Linked DNA regions of Anolis sagrei. The main gene of each other region encodes a partner of the protein of the gene in region 2 in a complex. Links are inferred from orthologs where the notes say so. Each region holds a gene or a part of one and is shown on either strand. Other genes may lie near its edges.

The links.
Region 1: the proteins of cathepsin K (region 2) and cystatin-like are in contact, whole or in part, in a crystal structure (PDB 8V57), measured with the Mus musculus proteins. The link is inferred for Anolis sagrei from reciprocal best matches to the Homo sapiens genes CTSK and CST3. Residues at the interface, in NP_031828.2 of Mus musculus: Asn132, Gln133, Gly134, Gln135, Cys136, Gly137, Cys139, Trp140, Glu173, Asn174, Tyr175, Cys177, Gly178, Gly179, Gly180, Tyr181, Met182, Ser248, Ala251, Ser252, Gln257, Phe258, Val274, Asn275, His276, Ala277, Ser297, Trp298, Ser301, Trp302; in NP_034106.2 of Mus musculus: Pro27, Arg28, Met29, Leu30, Gly31, Ala32, Pro33, Gln75, Leu76, Val77, Ala78, Val80, Asn81, Tyr122, Pro125, Trp126, Lys127, Thr133.

The regions. Positions count from the first base shown.
Region 1 is NC_090024.1:140,461,144-140,464,892, forward strand, and holds the start of cystatin-like, read right to left. Parts: upstream 2,221-3,749; 5' UTR 2,154-2,220; coding exon 1,926-2,153; intron 1-1,925. UniProt on the Homo sapiens protein: As an inhibitor of cysteine proteinases, this protein is thought to serve an important physiological role as a local regulator of this enzyme activity.
Region 2 is NC_090032.1:4,990,766-4,994,514, forward strand, and holds the start of cathepsin K, read right to left. Parts: upstream 2,408-3,749; 5' UTR 2,227-2,407; intron 621-2,226; 5' UTR 611-620; coding exon 482-610; intron 1-481. UniProt on the Homo sapiens protein: Thiol protease involved in osteoclastic bone resorption and may participate partially in the disorder of bone remodeling. Displays potent endoprotease activity against fibrinogen at acid pH. May play an important role in extracellular matrix degradation.

The DNA.
Region 1 (3,749 bases), on a different chromosome or scaffold from region 2:
CATAGAAAGTGTCTCTGTCAGAATCCCCATCTTTATTGACAATGTGTTTTTGGTGTGCAGATGATTACATAAGAAATCCCAGAACTACAATGCGGCCCAGATGGCCACTAAGGAGCATTAAGGGCATTCTTTCACACCTTTTTGTGGGAGCGTGTTAAGATGCATACAATGACCAGTGTAGCCTAAGAGGAAGTCAGTGATACATCTTATCACACAAACCCTAGGGCAGTATCATCATGAGTCAACTTAAAGGCATATTTCAACAACAAAGCAGAGGTTTGGGGACAAAACTTTCCCCTCAACATGCCTGCTAGAAAAAAATATGAGTGGAATTATTTCTGTATTCCCAGTTCCTATTAATGGAAGAAGAGCAAAGGGGAAGAGAGAAATATGGCAAACTCATAGAGAGTTCACAAAACATGGGTGACACAACTCATTGGCACTGGGCTTGTTTTAGTCTCCAGTTGCAAGGCTCTCATGTGGAAAAACTGGGGACCGGGGACCGGGGGGGGGGGGGGGGACTTAGTAATTATGACCTGGACCGGCAGGAAAGGATGTTTCCCAAGCTCTGTCTGATGAGATCCCTTGCAGAAGACATTTATATACACTGATATGTCTTTCCGTGTGTATCGAGGACCCTGAAAAGGCTGGAAAGAGCCCAGCCTACTGCAGATATTACATACTGACTACACTCAGCTCTTCATATCAATGGATCCTGCATCCATGGCTTGAAAATATATTTTTTTAAACAATACAAAAAGCAAACCTTGGTTTTGCCATTGTATATAAGGGACCATATTTGACTACCCATGTATATAATGAGAATGGAGCAAAACACAGATTTTGGTATCCAGGAGTGTCCTGGAATCAAACCCCAGCAGATAACAAAGGTTCACTGTAACTAAAGGTAAAGGTTCCCCCTTGACATTAAGTCTAGTTGTGTCCAACTCTGGGGGGTGGTGCTCATCTCAGTTTCTAAGCCTAAGAGCCGGCATTGTCTATAGTCACCTCCAAGGTCATGTGGCCAGCATGACTGCATGGAGCACCGTTACCTTCCCACCAAAGTGGTACCTATTGATCTACTCACATTTGCATATTTTTAAACTGCTAGGTTGGCAGAAGTTGGGCCTAACAGCAGGAGCTCATCCTTCTCCACTGATTTGAACCACCAACCTTTCAGTCAGCAAGTTGATGTAGATCCATCTTAATAGGACGACTGACCACTGTAGTTTTATATATAGTGTTTTTAAAGTTGTTTTTGTAATTGTGATATATGATATTTTAATGAGTGTATATGTTTTTATGGCTGGAAACCAGGCTGAGTCCCTCAATGAGGTTGAGAAGCTCGGTATAGAAAACTGTGAAATAAATAAATAAATAACTAAGTTCAGCAGCTTAACCTGCTGCACAACTGGGGGCAACCTGTGTTGTTATTTATTTTACTGTATTACAGCTGACTGAAAGATTGGTGGTTCGAATCCGGGAAGCAGGGTGAGCTCCTGCTGTTAGGCCCTGCTTTTGCCAACCTAACAGTGCAAGTGTGAGTAGATCAATAGGTACCGCTTCAGCAGGAAGGTAATGGCGCTCCATGCAGTCATGCCAGCCACATGACCTTGGAGATGTTTATGGACAACACCGGCTCTGAATAATAAAATCAAATTAGAGAGGTAATATAAAATATATTATATAATATATTAATATTATATAATAATATATTTAATAATAATAATAATATTTAATAATAAATACATAATATTATTTATATAAACAAAATAATTTTGCATAATATAATCATTTGTATTCTTAATATTTTGGTAATATAAATAAACAAGATCAAAAGCTGCATTGCCCCTACAATATAGGGGAGCCTTGGGCTCCCTCCAGCCTGGTGCTGAGGGCCAGAGCGGCCTGCTCGCTTTCCGTACCTGCTTGCTGACGCTGAGGACCTCGGCGACGCGGCTGCCGTACTGGTCGTTGCTGGCCCGGTTGTACTCGTTCATGGCGAAGCGGAGGGCCTGCTGCACGCCCTCGTCGTCGGCGGAGACCTGGATGGGCGCCCCCACCATCCGCTGCCCGGTCCGGGACTGCCCGGTGGCCAGCGCCACGCCGAGAGAGAGAACGAACCACAGATCGATCCACCCGAAGAGAGCCATCCTTGCGCGGCGAGAGGAGACCGACTGCGCCTGCCAGACCCCGGAGGGAAGCCCAAGTGCTGCTGCGGGTCCCGCCCAGGCAAGGGAAGGCGGAGCCCCGGCCCAGGCGCCCCGCCCCAGGCGAGCTGTGTTTTTCCAGGCGAGAGGCCGAGGAGGTTGTGGCTCTCTCTCAGGCCCTGGTGAGTCACTGGGCCACTTCCCCAGGGCAGGTTGACTGTGACTTGCAGCCTGGGCAGAGATGGGCTCCTCTATCTTCCAGCTGGCTGAGGAACTGTAGACCAATCTCCCTGTTTTGTCACCTCTACAAAGTTCTGGAGAGACTTATTTTGCATAGAATTATGGAAAAAAAATAGACCCATGTCTGATCCCACAGCAAGCTGGCTTCAGGAAAGGCGAAAGCTGCACATCGCAAGTGCTGAACCTGACTCAGCACATAGCAGATGGCTTCGAAAGACAGCAGATCACAGGAGCTGTCTTCATAGACTTGTCAGCAGCTTATGATACTGTGAACCACCGCCTCCTCCTGAGAAAAATGTATAATATCACAAAGGACTACCACCTCACCTGCCTCATAGGAAACTTGCTACAAAGCAGGAGCTTTTTTGTTGAGTTCCAGAACCAGAGAAGTAAATGACGAAAACAGAAGAACGGCCTGCTTCAGGGGAGTGTGCTTGCTCCATCCATGTTCAACATCTACACAAATGACCAGCCACTGCCAGAAGGGACAGAAAGTTTCATCTATGTAGATGATCATGCCATTACTGCTCAAGCAGGGAGCTTTCAGATGGTAGAACAGAAGCTCTCCGAAGCTCTAGGTGCCCTTACCGCCTACTACAGCAAAACCAGCTGATCCCTAATCCATCGGCCCTGTTTACCTCTCCGAACGTATTCTCCCCTATGAACCATCAAGATCATTAAGATCGTCTGGAGAGGCCCTGCTCTCGGTCCCACCGGCCTCGCAAGCACATCTGGTGGGGACGAGGGACAGGGCCTTCTCGGTGGTGGCCCCACGACCCTGGAACTCTCTCCCACTGGAGATCAGAACCGCCCCTTCTATCCTGACATTCAGGAAACAGGTAAAGACGTGGTTATGGAGGCAGGCATTCGATGAGTGAGCCAACACCCTGAGATATGGATGGCAGATGATGTATAATCGATTTTAGTATGACGACTGACCATTGTAGTTATTGAATATATTTGCTGTTTTAATGTGTTATTGTAATATGAATTATGTTGTTTTACTGACTGTATGTGATTTTATGGTTGGAAACCGGTCTGAGTCCCTCAAAAGAGGTGAGAAGGTCAGTATACAAAACTTTTAAATAAATAAATAAATCTAAAATACAGATATGCACCTTTCACCTTAAGAACAGACAAGCATCCCAAGCTCTGAGGATTACCTGGGAAGGAATCCCAGCATTGCAGCACACCCAAATACCTGGGAGTCACCCTTGTCCGTGCTCTGACCTACAAGAAGTGCTGCCTGAATATCAAGCAAAAAGTGGGTGCTAGAAACAATATCATATGAAAGCTGACTGGCACAACCTGGGGATCACAACCAGACACAGTGAAGACATCTGCCTTTGCGCTATGCTA
Region 2 (3,749 bases):
GAATCAGCCGTCTGCACAGACGTTGCCCAGGAGACGCCTGGATGTGTTACCGTCCTGTGGGAGGCTTCTCTCATGTCCTCGCATGGGAAGCTGGAGCTGACAAATGGGAGCTCACCCCATCTTGTAGATCTGAACTGCCAACATTCAGGTTAGCAGTTCAGCCGGCACAACATTGCGCCACCATGGCTGCTTCTAATCTCTGAATGAATCAAGTATTTTTTGAACTCAGATTTGCAGCAATGGAAGTGAGCTGAGAACCAATGAGGGAGGAAAAGGAACCTGGACATTTTAATAGTTGGAACGGCAGAGGATTAATATCAACTCCCACAATTCCTAAATGATAATAATAAAAATCTTTGCTGGTGGGAGGAGATTAAGTCAGCCACCCTTCCCGACCCTATAAGGAAATGGCAGGATTTGAACCCGTGCCCTCCTGTCACCCCGTTCTTTGCCTCTGGGTCTAAAATGCTCTTGTGGTCACCTGGCCATTGTAGTCCTTCCGGTGGCTTTTCTTCCAGAGCTGCCACTGAGAGTCCAGCGTCTCGTCTGGGTAGCCGGTGGCCATGGTGGCCGGAAAGAGGGCGGCCAGTGCCAAGGGTGCCCACCACATCCTGGAAAAGCTGCAAAGAGGAAGGAAGGAAGGAAGGAAGGAAGGAAGGAAGGAAGGAAGGAAGGAAGGAAGGAAGGAAGGAAGGAAGGAAGGAAAGAGGAATAGGAGAGAGAGAGGGTGGAGAAAGGAAAGAAAGAAAGAGGAAGGATGGAGGGGGTTAGAAAAAGGAAGGAAATAGGAAGGAAGGAAGGAAGGAAGGAAGGAAGGAAGGAAGGAAGGAAGGAAGGTGAAAAATAGGAAAGAGGGAGGGAGGAGGGGAAGGAAGGAAGGGATTAGAAATAGGAAGGAAGGAAGGAAGGAAGGAAGGAAGGAAGGAAGGAAGGAAGGAAGGAAGGTGAAATAGGAAGGAAGGGGGAAAAGGAGAGAGAGATGGAGAAACAAAGGAAAGAGAGAGGAAAGAAGGAAGAAAGAAGAAATAGGAAGGATAGAGAAATAGGATGGAAGGAGGGAGGGATGGAGGAAGAAGGAAGAAAAGAAGGGAGGGAAGAGAAATAGGAAGGAAGGAGAAAAAGAAAAGAGAGATGGAGGAATGAAGGAAAGAGAGAGGAAAGAAGGAAGGAAGGAGAAATAGGAGGGAAAGAGGGAGGGATGGAGGAAGGAAGGAAGGAAGGAAGGAAGGAAGGGATGAGAAAAAGGAAGGAAGGAAGGTGAAATAAGGAGAAATGGGAGAGAGGGTTGGAGGAAGGAAGGAAAGAGAGAGGAAAGAAGAAAGGAAGGAGTTAAAAATAGGAAGGAAGGTGAAATAGGAGAGAGGGATGAAGGAACGAAGGAAAGAGAGAGGAAGGAAGGAAGGAAGGAAGGAAGGAAGGAAGGAAAGAGAGAGGAAAGAAGAATGGAAGGAAGGAAGGAGTTAAAAATAGGAAGGAAGGTGAAATAGGAGAGAGGGATGAAGGAACGAAGGAAAGAGAGAGGAAGGAAGGAAGGAAGGAAGGAAGGAAAGAGAGAGGAAAGAAGAATGGAAGGAAGGAAGGAGTTAAAAATAGGAAGGAAGGTGAAATAGGAGAGAGGGATGAAGGAACGAAGGAAAGAGAGAGGAAGGAAGGAAGGAAGGAAAGAAGGAAGGAGAAATAGGAGGGAAGAAGGGAGGGATGGAGGAAGGAAGAAAGGAACAAAGGAAGGAAGGAAGGGAAGAGAAGAAGGAAGGAAGGAAGGAAGGAAGGAAGGAAGGAAGGAAGGAAGGAAGGTGAAATAGGAAGGAAGGAAGGTGAAATAGGAAGGGAGGAGAAATAGAGAGATGGATGGAGGAAGGAAGGAAGGAAGGAAGGAAGGAAGGAGAGAGGAAAGAAGGAAGGAAGGAGTGAAAAATAGGAGGGACAAAGGGAGGAGGGAAAGGGAGGAAAGGGTGAGAAAAAGGGACAAATGCAGTTATCACATGTTGATTATACTATAGAGTTATCACTTGAACGGCCACTTCTGGGATGTCTAGTTTGATGGAGGGACGTAGACGCTACAATTCCCAGGGGAGAATGTCTATGGAGCTGGAAAGGAAAGGAAGGAAATGGGGAGGAGAGGAAGAGGGGCAAAGGGGTGCAGTTTGACTCCACTTGGGACTGCGTTGGGCTCGAGAAGGCTAAAGACCTGGCCAAACTACAACTCCCGGGATGGTCCTTACTCACCTCTGTGGGTTCTGCTGCTGGATCTGGTCTTCTTGCAAGGAGGGAACCCGAACAGGAGGGATCTTGGCAGCCTTTGGGTTTTTATGCAGGTTTTGGGGAAGTCTGGCCTGCAAATGGAAAAAATGCCCAGTTTGTCTCCGGCAAGCTTTACTCAGATTTCTCGAAGGCGAAGAGGAGGAAGAGGAGGGGAAAGAGGAGGGGAAGGCCTCTCACATGATCCTCTTGGCAAAGGATCACATCTGGATCTCAAAGGAAGCGGGGAAACATCTGGAGGCTTGCCGCTGAGATTCAGCCGTTTGTGCATTTTTGCAGGCCTTCAGATTCACAATTTGGAAAGGTGTGTCTACACTGTACGATTAATGCAATTTGGCACCACTTTAACAGCGATGGAAATCCTGGGATTTGTAGTCCGGCACCAAACTCTCTTTGGCAAAGGAGGCCTTGCAAAATGGCAACTCCCAAAAGTCCATAGCATTGAGCACTTGCAGTCCAAGTGGTATCGAACTGTGTTAATTCAACAGTGGAGACGCAATCATAGTTCCCCATCGTGGTCCCTGTGAATTGCACAGGGAATTTGCCACCAAATTGGCATCAGAATGAGGAACCTCAAAAATCCCCGTCATCTCTTACTCTAAGTATGGTATATACATGTATGTGTGTGCGTGTGTGCATGTGTGTATAAAAGGTAAAGGCTTTCCCCTGAGATTAAGTCCAGTCATGCCCGGATCTGGGGGTTGGTGCTCATATCTAAGCTGAAGAGCCGTCGTTGTCCATAGACGCCTCCTAGGTCATGTGGCCAGCATGACTGCATGGTGCGTCCTTACCTTCCCGATGGAGTGATATCTATTGATCTACTCACATTTGCATGTTTCCAAACTGCTGGGGCTAACAGCAGGAGCTCACCCAGCTCCCCGGATTTGAACCGGTGACCTTTTGATCAAGTTCAACAGCTCAGCGGTTTAACCCACTGCACCACTGTGTGTGTATATATATATATGTGTGTGTGTGTGTGTGTATAAAACCACATACACACACACACACACATGTATATGTATGTGTTCTTGTGGAAACAAGAACAGGAGAAGAGATGAGTCCACCTTGATTCACCCTCCATGTATATGTATATATGTGTGTATATGTGTGTATGGTCCATGGTAACAAAAACAGAAGAGATGAGTCCACCTTAATTCACCCTCCATGTATATGTGTATGTATACTGTATGTGTGTGTGTGTGTGTGTGTGGTCCATGGTAACAAAAAAGAAGAGATGAGTCCACCTTGATTCACCCTCCATGTATATGTTTGTGTATACTGTATATTTGTGTGTATATATATATGTGTATGTATATTTATATACATACATACATATGTATGTGTGTGTATTTATGTATATATATGTATATGTGTGTGTGTGTATAGTCCATGGTAACAAGAACAGGAGAAGGGATGTGTCCACCTTGATTCACCCTCCATGTATATGTATGTGTGTACTGTATATGTATGTATGTGTGTGTGTGTATGTA